Schizosaccharomyces pombe: one gene and its partner. The gene in region 1 interacts genetically with each later gene. Each region holds a gene or a part of one and is shown on either strand. Other genes may lie near its edges. The genes, in order: yta12 and lon1.

Region 1 (5,717 bases):
TAGCACTGTAAGTTGATAAATTCTGTTTGAAAATTCTTATGCTAAATTTCTTTACATTGGAGAATGCATAATCTGATTAATGGCAAAATATTATGAGTCTAACTGTCTTCCAGTTCGCTTGTTGTATGAAATAAATAGGAAAGTCATAATAATATATACTTTTTATTAATTGCTAACGGTTTTTCTAATTTTCTTTATACAAATACCTCCTTTATAGTAATTTTATGGGTTTAACATTTTTAACAGAAATAATTTTGGCTTGATTATGCATACTCAAATCGTAGCGAGAAATGATAGATTTACGCCTTGCTAGCTTTTTAACAAAAATAGGCAAAATAGGCGTTATATGGCAACTTAAAAAACGAAAGAATTCGTATATTTAATTATCCACAATTAAGGACTATTTCTTTTCGTTCTCTTATAACGTGAGGCAATGATTCGTTTTTTTTCTAGTCTACGCACGTAAGTTGGTGGTGTAACTACACCAAACTTCCCAGGGTATACATGTCCTTAACTCTTTCAATGAATTAATTGCTTTTCACTACACCGTTCTATCTTTATTTTTAAGTTTAATTTGTATACGTTGTCTGCCTAATAAAAATTATTTAAAAAAAATGACTGAAAAAACTGCTAGTCATTATTGGAATGAAGAAACCTCTATATTGAAGCTTCGTCGCAAAGATATACTTCTGTTTGAAATATATGCCACTACACTTCTTCTAGGTAGCATTTATAGCATTTATGTTGACAAATGGTCGATTACCTCTTACTTTGGAAACTCGAAAAATTTGATTAATTTGATTTTTGTAAAAAGAGGCTGGTTCTGGACTTCTTTAGTATATTTTTATCATGCTTGGGATCAAAAGAGAAACAAAATTGACTTCAAGTTTATTTCAAGGTATATAGTGGCCACTCTATGGTGGATGTTTGTAACCCAATGGTTTATAGGACCTGGCCTGATTGATAGAACCTTTGCATTATCTGGCGGAAGTTGCAAAAACTTTGATGGTGATTCATCTGTGTTCATTCCACTTACCGCCTCCACTTGCAAGGGATTAAACGGATCTTGGTCTGGTGGTCATGATCTCTCGGGCCATGTTTTCTTGTTAACTCACTCGAGCTTGTTTATGTTGTCTGAAAACTTTTCATTTATTTTGAATAATGGAATAAAAGCTACATCTACTAAAGTACTTTTTGGTCTTCTTGGACTTTGGTGGTGGATGTTATTTGTTACTGCATCCTTTTACCATACTACTTTTGAAAAATGTACCGGGTTTTTCTCTGGTATTTTAGAATGGTCTATTGTTTACGTGTTCTCTTCAAGAATGCCAGCGGTCGCTGATCTTTTAGGATCCTCCGATTACTAGCCTTTACCACCATTTGTCCTTAAACTATGCTTCTAAATGATTGTTTTATATAGTGCAACACTTGTGACATAGCATATCCTTCCTTCTCTAAACTTATTTGTTTATGACCCTTTTATCTCTCTGTCGATTATTACGATAGTGCCATCATGATAAAAAAAATCTTTTCATTATTTACCAAAACTAAGTATATTTTAGAGAGTATTTTACTTGGGAAAAATACTCGTCAATTGTTTTGAGTGAAAATGCGTTCTTCCATATATATTTGATAGCCGTAAAGTTTCTTCTTTATCAAGCTTGCATATTATAGTGACTATTATTTATTCCTTTTTTTTTTTTGATACAAATATGCATAAATGTTTTTTATTATGGTATCTAAGTTAGTAATGTAAATCAACTCGCTAATATTATCCATTCAGCAAATTATAATGTATTTTAATTTGTCAACAATATACTTGTAATACGTTTAGTAAATCTATAGTAATTAATAGAGACAATGCTAAGAAGTTGGTTGATTTCATTACGGTCGGTGCCCATAATAAATGACTAATGCTTCGGAAGGTTGTCACTACCCACAACACACAAGTCCAAGGCATCTATATTATCCTTCCTTTAGGCTATTTTTTGTTGACAGGATTAGTAACGGGTTTATTGAGCTGAAAAAAAAGTGACAACTGTGTTCTTATTCCTTTTAATTACCATTTTTGCTGACGTGAAACATTGGAATTTCTTCAATTTCATAACGCTTTTTGGAGGTTGCCCAAATCCATGTCCGGAGGTAATAATAAATTTTTATTTTAATACAACCTTATAACTTTTCGTCTCTATTCGTTTTGGTCTCAATTACTGAATTGAACGATTAATTACTGCTTTCTTGAATTTTTTAATTCTAGAATCCACCTTTACTCGTCATATACGAAGGATATTTTTCTTAAAACAATCATTTACGTTTATCTCTTTCGATATTGAGGGTTTTATATATTATACTTGCCCTTACACGCTCAATTCAAGTTATTGTACCCTGCGACTTATTTCCATATAATATTCCTTATGCGAAATCCCTTTTTGACGTTTAGGGCACCTACTAGGAAAACAGGAGATTACCTGGTTTCTAAATTCGTAAAGAAGGATAATTTTTCTTCTTTGCGTTTGGCAAGGGCTTATACTTTTTCTACACGTTCCACAGCTGTTTCACAATTTTCTCTTCTCTCACTTTCTCAGAGATCTTTTCAGTCCCTTAAAATAAATAAAGGAATACCGGAAAAACATAAAATCCCTCTCATTTCATCTAAACAATTTAGCGTAACCTCAAAAAGATCGCAAAATGGGTCTTCAGGATCCAATTCTGATGCTAATGGTAGGAAAAATGGCCAGAAAAATGATGATTCAAAAAAGAAGGGATTGAATGGCAATGATCCGAAAAAAGTTTTTGAAATAGCCTTAAATGGCAACACTATTTTAGGTGGAATTTTAGTTGCCTATATCCTTTACAATGTTCTCTCGCCTAATGCAAATATGCAAGAAATTACTTGGCAAGATTTTCGACAACAGTTTTTAGACAAGGGTTTAGTTGAACGGCTAGTTGTTGTTAACCGCAATATGGTTAGAGTTATTTTGAGAGGCGGTGTAGCTTCAGGTTCAGGGCAGTACTATTTTTCAATTGGTTCCATCGACTCTTTCGATCGAAAACTAGAGGATGCACAACGTCAACTGGGTATTCCACCTTCTGAATTTGTCCCTGTCGCTTATCATGACGAAGTCTCTGTTCTTGCTACTTTATTGTCTTTTGCTCCCACCTTACTGATCATTGGAAGTGTCATTTATTTATCGCGACGGGCTTCGGGTGCCGCAGGAGGTGGTCAAGGTGGCATTTTTGGAATTGGTAAGAGCCGAGCGAAGATGTTTAATCATGAAACTGATATCAAAATAAAATTTGCTGATGTCGCTGGCGTTGACGAGGCTAAAGAAGAGATTATGGAATTCGTCAAATTTTTAAAAAATCCCAAGTTTTATGAAAGGTTGGGGGCTAAAATTCCTCGTGGTGCCATTCTTTCTGGTCCTCCTGGTACCGGTAAAACTCTTCTTGCTAAAGCCACCGCTGGTGAAGCTAACGTCCCTTTTTTAAGTGTGTCAGGTTCTGAGTTTCTTGAAATGTTTGTTGGTGTTGGACCTTCCCGCGTAAGAGATCTTTTTGCTACTGCTCGCAAGAACGCTCCTTGTATTATTTTCATAGATGAAATTGATGCAATTGGTAAAGCAAGAGGACGTGGAGGACAATTTGGTTCCAATGATGAACGCGAAAGCACTCTTAATCAGCTATTAGTTGAAATGGACGGTTTTACGTCTAGCGAACATATCGTCGTATTCGCTGGTACTAATCGACCAGACGTATTGGACCCGGCACTTCTACGTCCTGGTCGATTCGATCGTCAAATTACGATTGATCGTCCTGATATTGGCGGTCGTGAACAAATATTTAAGGTCCACCTTAAGCATATTAAGGCAGCCGATAACATCGACTTAATTGCCAAGCGTCTTGCCGTCCTAACTTCTGGTTTTACAGGAGCTGATATAATGAATGTATGTAATGAAGGAGCGTTAATTGCAGCACGATCAAATAGTAATGAAGTCCAAATGGTACATTTTGAGCAAGCTATTGAAAGAGTCACGGCAGGTTTGGAAAAGAAGAGTAGGGTACTAAGTCCTGAAGAAAAAAACACCGTTGCTCATCATGAAGCTGGACATGCGGTAGCTGGTTGGTTTATGGAGTACGTCGATCCACTATTGAAGGTCTCAATCATTCCTAGAGCTCAAGCCCTTGGCTATGCTAGTTATTTACCCAAAGATCAGTATCTGATGAGTCGAGGGCAGATTTTAGATCAAATGGGAATGGCTTTGGCTGGGCGTGTTTCTGAAGAAATATTTTTTGGACCAGAAAAGATTACTTCGGGAGCTTCCGATGATTTTCAAAAAGTAACGCGCATGGCTCAAGCGTATGTGACCCAATATGGTATGTCTCCGACTGTTGGTACTATAGCTTATCCCATCGACACTCGGGAAACTGTTCAAAAACCATTTTCTGAGGCTACAGCTCAAATGATTGATGAAGAAATTCGAAAGCTTGTAAAGCATGCATACGAAAGAACTAAGAAACTTTTGCTAGAACATAAGCAAGGCTTAGAAAATATTGCTCAACGTCTATTACAGAAAGAAGTCATCACTTATAACGAAGTTGAGACGATTCTTGGACCAAGGCCATATGCATACAAACATTTAAATATTTCTGAACTTATGCGTCAGTCTGAGTATAAAAATGATCACGATCCTCGAAATCCACCAATCCCCCCATCTCCTCAACAACCTTCTGCCTAATTTGTCAATTTACTGAATTTAAATAAAGCGTTATGAATGAAAATAGTTACTTTCATGGATCTCATGATCAAAGTATTTGTCAATTGAATATCATATAGCTATTTTATCTATTTTTTCTATTTAATATTACAGAAGCTAGATAAATATACTTAACATCAATTCTTCTGAACTTTAAAAGGTTAATAGATTATTATTTTCTAACACAAAATAGCTAATATCGTAACAAACAAACTTGTGTTTAGTTTCGACCTTTAGACCAGCATGTCATAGGGAGCGTGATACTCAACAGTTACACGTTTGACACTAACCACTGTACTTTCTTACAAGTCCATATTTTATGATGGATCTGATTATTTCAACAATTTTATTAAGCTTATTTATTCATTTCTTCGATAAATTTGCAAAAAAAAGGACTATTGATGGGGTAATTTAACATATATACTTGTTGTAAAGAAAACTAATAATGTGAAAGGCTTATCGAATTTACGTTAGTGTTTCTAATAATAAAGATTTAAAGAAGAACAAAGAAATTTTAGAGCAGCTGCTTACTGTTAAGAAAGAGCTAAACGCTACTAGCAGTCAAGATCAGTTTGCTAAATGGGCCCGTCTGAATAGAAAGTATGAACAACTCAGTCAAGAGTGGGAAAAACAATCAGCCAATGTTAAAATTTTCCAAGATACTTTCAAGCGGGTTTTAAGCCTTTTTCTTTGGATTTTAACCCGTGGATTCCGGTTTTATATTCAATTCAAAGAGTCCAAAACACCTGTCTTTTTCCTCCCTGCATTCTTGCTTCCTTCTTGGGCTCTATGGGTGCTATCTCTTCCACGATCAATCTACGGTATGTTGTTTTTAATGAAAATTCTGAAAATCTTTTTTTTATTTTTATTTTCATTTATCACAATGGCAGCTGAAATACTAACATGGCATGTAGGATCGGTTAGCTTAACAGTTTGGAATTTTGCGGTTCAAAAAACTATTTC
Region 2 (5,958 bases), on another chromosome or scaffold:
GAAAGTGCGCCGGAAACGTCAGACTTATTAGCGAGAACCAAAATTGAAGTAAACAAAAGTTTCTATATGCATGTTAAGATAATTCACATTTTCAGCCTACCTCTTCTACCAACAATTCTTGTAATGTATTTCTGCATTCTTCTAAACGTAAATCATCCAAGCTGTCAACAACCCAAATAATTGCTTCGGTTGATTCAAAGTAATTTTTCCAAAAATTTCTTAGCGTTTTCTGCCCCCCAATGTCCCCTTGAATTAGTAAGCTTAAGACTGTTCATTTCGAAAATTGCAAGCTACGTACATATCGTGAATCGGAGTCCTTCTACTTCAAGCGTTCGAATTTGAAAGCCAAAGGTAGGCGAAACTTCATTTACCTATCAATCGATAAATTATGGAGCCTTAAAAGATACTTACATCCTCGTTCAACAGGCACTTCAAAATTGTCGTTTTACCTGCATTATCCAACCCCCTAAAGTCATTAGATTTCACTCTGTATATATTTGAATCATCTTACAGTAACAAAACCCTGACTTCTCGTTCCTTTAGCTTTTGCTGTCTCAAAATAGTCAATAATCCCATTTCTCAATAGTAGAGTAACCAAGAAATAAGAAAATATGCGATGAATTTGCCTTGCATTGCGTTACTCAACAAGGGCTTAAGCTATCAACTTTATAGAAAGATATTACTGTTTTACGAACGATTGAACAGAATAAATTCAAACTACATGTTGTCTTTTAAATATAGCACAATACATAAATCGTTATTAACTATATCTATTACATAATGAATTTAGATAATTTCTTCATAAAGGTAGTATCCTTCTAATAGGAGAATGTTAATGACTGGGTGAAATTTGATGCTGCTTGGAGGATGACTTTATTAAATTTGGCCAAAGATTGTTGCATTTTTCGGCATCAATGTTTGAAAAAACCCGTTTAAAAACATCATCATACCATGCAACAGGGACACCAGTTAAACCTTCTTTAACATAATCAGGAAGTTGTTCCCAATCGGCTAAGTTACTTTTTGGAAATAGTATTTCTTTCATACCAGATAATTTGGCAGCAACCGTCTTTTCTCGTAAGCCACCAATGCGTAAAATTTTACCGGTCAAGGTTAGCTCACCAGTCATGGCAGTAGTCGCTGGTACCGGAGTATCCAATGCTAAAGAAAGTAAAGATGTAGCCATTGTGATACCTGCTGATGGGCCATCCTTAGAAATGGAGCCTTCGGGACAATGCATATGCAAACGCGCATGTTCAAAAAATTTATTATTTGGAAAATGCTTAGACAAAAAGCTTTTTGAAAAGGAATACGAAATTTCAGATGACTCTTTCATCACATCTCCCAGTTGCCCCGTCCTTTCCAAAGAGGGAGTAGAATTGGATGATAAAATGTTTTTAACAATAGTTTCTACATACATCGAAACACCTCCCATGGGTGTCCAACCAAGTCCCATGACAACACCAGGAGGAGTAGTGTCATAAAGTCGCTGAGAAGTATAAATGGGGGGACCCAAATATTTAGTCAAGTCCTTTTCTTCAATCTCGATATTAACTTTATCGGGAACTTTTAACGGAACAGATGATGCTTCTTTGTTTGCTGCATCTTCTGATGATTGAGGAGATGTTTTCTTTCCCGACTTACCCGTAGACTTCTCTTTAGAATTTAATTCATCGTCAATTTCTTTAACAATACTAAAAGATGTTTTACGAAATATTTTCTCAATAGATTTTTTCAAATTTCGTACACCGCTTTCATGAGCATAGTAACTAATTAAACCCTTAATAGCGTCATCACTGATATTCACATTAGCATCCTTTAAACCACAAGCAGCTTTGGCTTGGGGTATAAGATAACCTTTAGCAATGTTAACTTTTTCAGCTGAAACATATCCAGATAGTTCAATAACCTCCATACGATCCAACAAAGGTGGAGGAATAGTATCAATGGTGTTCGCCGTGCAGACAAATAAAACAGATGAAACATCGAGTGGAATATCCATATAGTAATCTAGGAAAGCTGAGTTCTGTTCTGAATCTAAAAGCTCTAAAAGTGCACTCGCAGGATCCCCTTGATGACTTTTGCCCACTTTGTCTATTTCATCAATAAGAATCAAAGGGTTCTCAGTTTGCACCTTTTTCAAAGCTTGCACAATTTTTCCAGGCATTGCTCCGATATAGGTACGACGATGTCCTTTGATTTCAGCGACATCAGTCAGACCGCCCACACTGAAGCGAAAGAATTCCCTGTTTAAGGCAGATGCAATAGATTTTCCAACAGAAGTCTTACCGACACCTGGCGGACCAACTAAACACATAATCTTTCCTTGCATAGTTCCTCTTAGCTTACCTACAGCTACTAACTCAAGAACACGATCCTTAACATCTTTAAGCCCATAATGATCTCGATCAAGGACTTCCTTTGCATGATCTAAATCGAAATTTTCAACAGACCTCTTTCCCCAAGGAAGTTGGGTTATCCAGTCCAAATAATTACGAGTAATGTTAAATTCAGCAGCCATTGGTTCTAAATGCTGAAATTTGGACAGTTCATCATTGAAAACCTTTTTCACGTGATCAGGCATACTCAAGCTTTCAGTTCGTTTCTTGAACTCAGTTACTAATGCTTCTTTGCTATCAAGTTCTTGTCCAAGTTCTCTTTTAATTTGCTTTAGCTGTTCGGTTAAAAGATATTCTTTATGGCGTTGAGTTATCTTCTGCTCAATTTCCTTGTTAATTTTATGCTGAAGTTGGGCATTCAATAGTTCCTTTTTTAGTACATACAAAGCCTTTTGCAAACGATCTCCTATATTTGTAGCTTCTAAAACCTCCTGTAATTCGCGATGATCTGCAGCCGAAACAGCGGCAGCAAAATCTGCCAATTTAGCAGGTTCATCAAAAACATTGCCAGACGTTTGCGATATTGAAAAATTGGCAATTTGTTCACGAAAGAGGGGACTAACGTTTGCAATATCTTTGAAAACATTCATAATCTCAGACGTTACCGCCTTAATTACAGGATCCTGTCGTTTAAAAGGTTCATTAGGAACGTTTTCGACATTAACAAGAGAGACTTTAAAGTTTTGAAGAATTGAGGGTGTGCTTTCAACTTCCTTTTCAGGTTCCTCTTTCCCATTGTCTTGTTTGAGATCAGACTTAACTTCTCCATTGGAAGAAAGATTAGAGCTTTTATCGGTTTCAAGTTCTGCTGCGTCTGAAGAAGCAGCGCTATCAGCATCCTCTTTTGGAGGTATCAGTTCAGTTATTCGTATCCTACGGTGAGGGTATAAAACAGCAGTCAATGCAGGTTCACTACCACTTTTTGCTGGAAAAATACTGGTGATTTGAGCGAAAACACCGACCGGGTAAACCTGATCAATGTTCGTTATAACATCGGTATCAGTGTTTTCATCCTTCAACAAAAACGCGCCGATATAAGGTTGTCTCTTTTTAATCAGTTCTTTAATGGCCTCTGAAACAGAGGGATTTTTGGTAACTATGGCTTTATAAAAACCAGGGAAAAGAGGTCGTCGCGCAATGGGTAACGCAAGTAATTGAGGATACACATCAGGAACCGAATATTTGGCCGGAACATTTTTATTAAATTCCCCATTTAAAGGCATTTCATCCTCATTTTCTTCACCACCTAATTCAAATTCGTCATTTTTAGACTTAGAAGCTTGTGTAGCAGAATACTTTTCCTCAGTCTTATTTGAAGAAGATTTCAAATTTTGCTTAAAATCGTCATTATCCTTTTTTTTCTTTTTATCCGTAGATGGCAAAGATTCGTTGGTATGTGACTCATCTTCATTATGTGTCTTTTTGGGATCGTTTTTGTTATCCAGTGGTTTGTTATCTTTTGGTTCTTTACTTTTGAAAACAACATTTGAAGTACGAAAAGGTCCGACTGAGCATTTTAAAACCCTCTGTGTAGTGGAAAAACTAGCAAGCAAAGACCGATGAACCAAATGTTCACGAGGCCAATTTCTTTTAGCACCTGATCGCCTCAAGCAAGCGCCCGATAAACGTGTAATCATGGGCCTGTACGAATTTAAATTACAAACTGGCACAAAGAACGTTTCGGGCTATTATTAATTTTCTGGCGTATTTAAAGGTAGTTGGTAATTGCTGAGTTAGCTGGTAAGTCGCCGTCACATAATGAGCGCAAAGAGGGAATTGGCTTACTTGCCTCCAACCTCCAATGCTATTAAATAAACCATTCAAGCATTTAATACAATACTCATTATAAAGGAAAAAAATTAAAGTTTCCAATTTTTTCGGCTTCAAATAGTTCAACAGATGAGATATCGAAGCGTTGCAATAGTTTCACTTACTTTACCGCATTAACTTTTATTTTAAATAATTAAGATACCGATCGCTTATCAAATTTTAACCAAAATTTCATTACTAATAATAAGATAATGCTGTTAAGAGCTGAAAACAGCGACGATTGTTTAATTTAATTGTATGAATGGAAACTCACATGCATAAATTGAATCAGTGTAAAAAAACTCAGAAAGCTTCTCATTACATAAGTCTTAGCTGTTCAATTCAAAACATTGAAAGAGCGCATAGCATTTACAGGATATGTAATGATACGTTGCAGAATCAATCGTGTCATATTGCTGCGTAGTATAACATTGTTATTAAAAAACCAAAAGAAACTGTCTTTAGTAGCGTGGCTTGCACACATTAAGAACGTTGAGTTATTTAAGTCAAGATATTTTTAAATTCGAGGGTAAGCTGATAAAGCATTGAAGGATAGAGACTTATTAAATGACTAGATTGTATTCTTTTTACAGATTTTTAAATATTACTAGCATGTTCAGGTAGGAATTGTCGTAAAGTTTGAATCTGAGATTCTTCTTTTTCCGCTAGATCAAGACGCTCAGCCTTGCGAAACTGTTCAATAGCTTGTTTACGCTTTTTTATGTTTTTTTTAAGTACTCGCAGAACGTCTAAGTCTGTAGTAACTGGCTTACTCGACTTGTTTGCATATTCGATTTCCGAGAGAAATACCTAAGCTTGTTAGCGTCATATTCATCTACAAACATAGATAACATAGTTCTGACAGCCTCTTCACATTGCTTGAACACTGATGCAATTTAACATGTAGACCGTCACGTTTTATTTCCAACGTACTTTTAAAGTAGACGCAACATCTTTTTGCCTAGATTTCATGGAATCCAGCAATTTTTTACGAATAACTGCTTGAAGATTTGGGATTGCTGAAGCGTTAGCAAATAAATGACTATTCCTAAGTTTGCTTACATGTACTATTATAGCGTAAGTATTGTACATTACGAATAGCTATCCTTGATGTGTGTACTAAGCGTTGATTAAACATTGAATTCTTTTTCTTGGATTATGTTTTCAGGTCAGACCCAAAAATTCCCCTAAAGGTGGTGTAGCGCAGAAAGTATTTGGTAGTAGGATTATCCCATTTTGTTTGGAGATGTGGAAACTAAAATATGCGAAATCGCTCATTGACAGTGAGGTAACTCCATCAATTTAGCAATATTTATTTATTAGTACAAACTGATTTTAAGATTGATTGCGAAAATGAGACATTTGCTTTCGGTAGATTTTACAATTAAATTAATGGTTATTCAAAATCAAAATTGAAAAACAAGCAATACAGTGCCGGGTAATAACACTTACGCCTACAATTAGGTCCTGCTACCTAAGACCTATAATTTAGTTTCCCTATTAACAGAAATGCTTTATAAAGACCTCATCTTAATATGTTAACAAAAGATAGTTATTAATAGTCTCATTTATTGAACAGCCTGGTGTATGTTGGAGACAAAATGAATTCGCAGTAGTTGAAATGCATAAGTATCCAGCAATCAGAAGCTTTTATGAAAGATTAAATTCATCTTTTTAATGATATGGAGTAATTTTTCTACGACCAACCATCTGGCCAGCGCAGAAAATACCAACTATTTCAACTGCGATG

What was found.
Region 2: mutations in yta12 (region 1) and lon1 impair growth when combined (synthetic growth defect), as found in Schizosaccharomyces pombe (one study listed by BioGRID).

The regions. Positions count from the first base shown.
Region 1 is NC_003423.3:4,313,874-4,319,590, forward strand, and holds yta12 (m-AAA protease Yta12), read left to right. Parts: upstream 1-1,934; 5' UTR 1,935-2,414; coding exon 2,415-4,736; 3' UTR 4,737-4,996; downstream 4,997-5,717. Other genes in the region: fit1 (CoA pyrophosphatase (FIT) family lipid storage protein), read left to right, coding at 615-1,367; GET complex subunit Get1, read left to right, coding at 5,074-5,160, 5,209-5,575, 5,669-5,717. UniProt on the Schizosaccharomyces pombe protein: Catalytic component of the m-AAA protease, a protease that plays a key role in proteostasis of inner mitochondrial membrane proteins.
Region 2 is NC_003424.3:691,909-697,866, reverse strand, and holds lon1 (Lon protease), read right to left. Parts: upstream 4,130-5,958; 5' UTR 4,037-4,129; coding exon 833-4,036; 3' UTR 737-832; downstream 1-736. Other genes in the region: GTP-binding protein involved in beta-tubulin folding Alp41, read right to left, coding at 1-62, 101-246, 299-371, 412-466, 512-576; mitochondrial aspartyl/glutamyl-tRNA amidotransferase subunit B-related Aim41, read right to left, coding at 4,806-5,018, 5,142-5,300; atp20 (F0-ATPase subunit G), read right to left, coding at 5,883-5,958.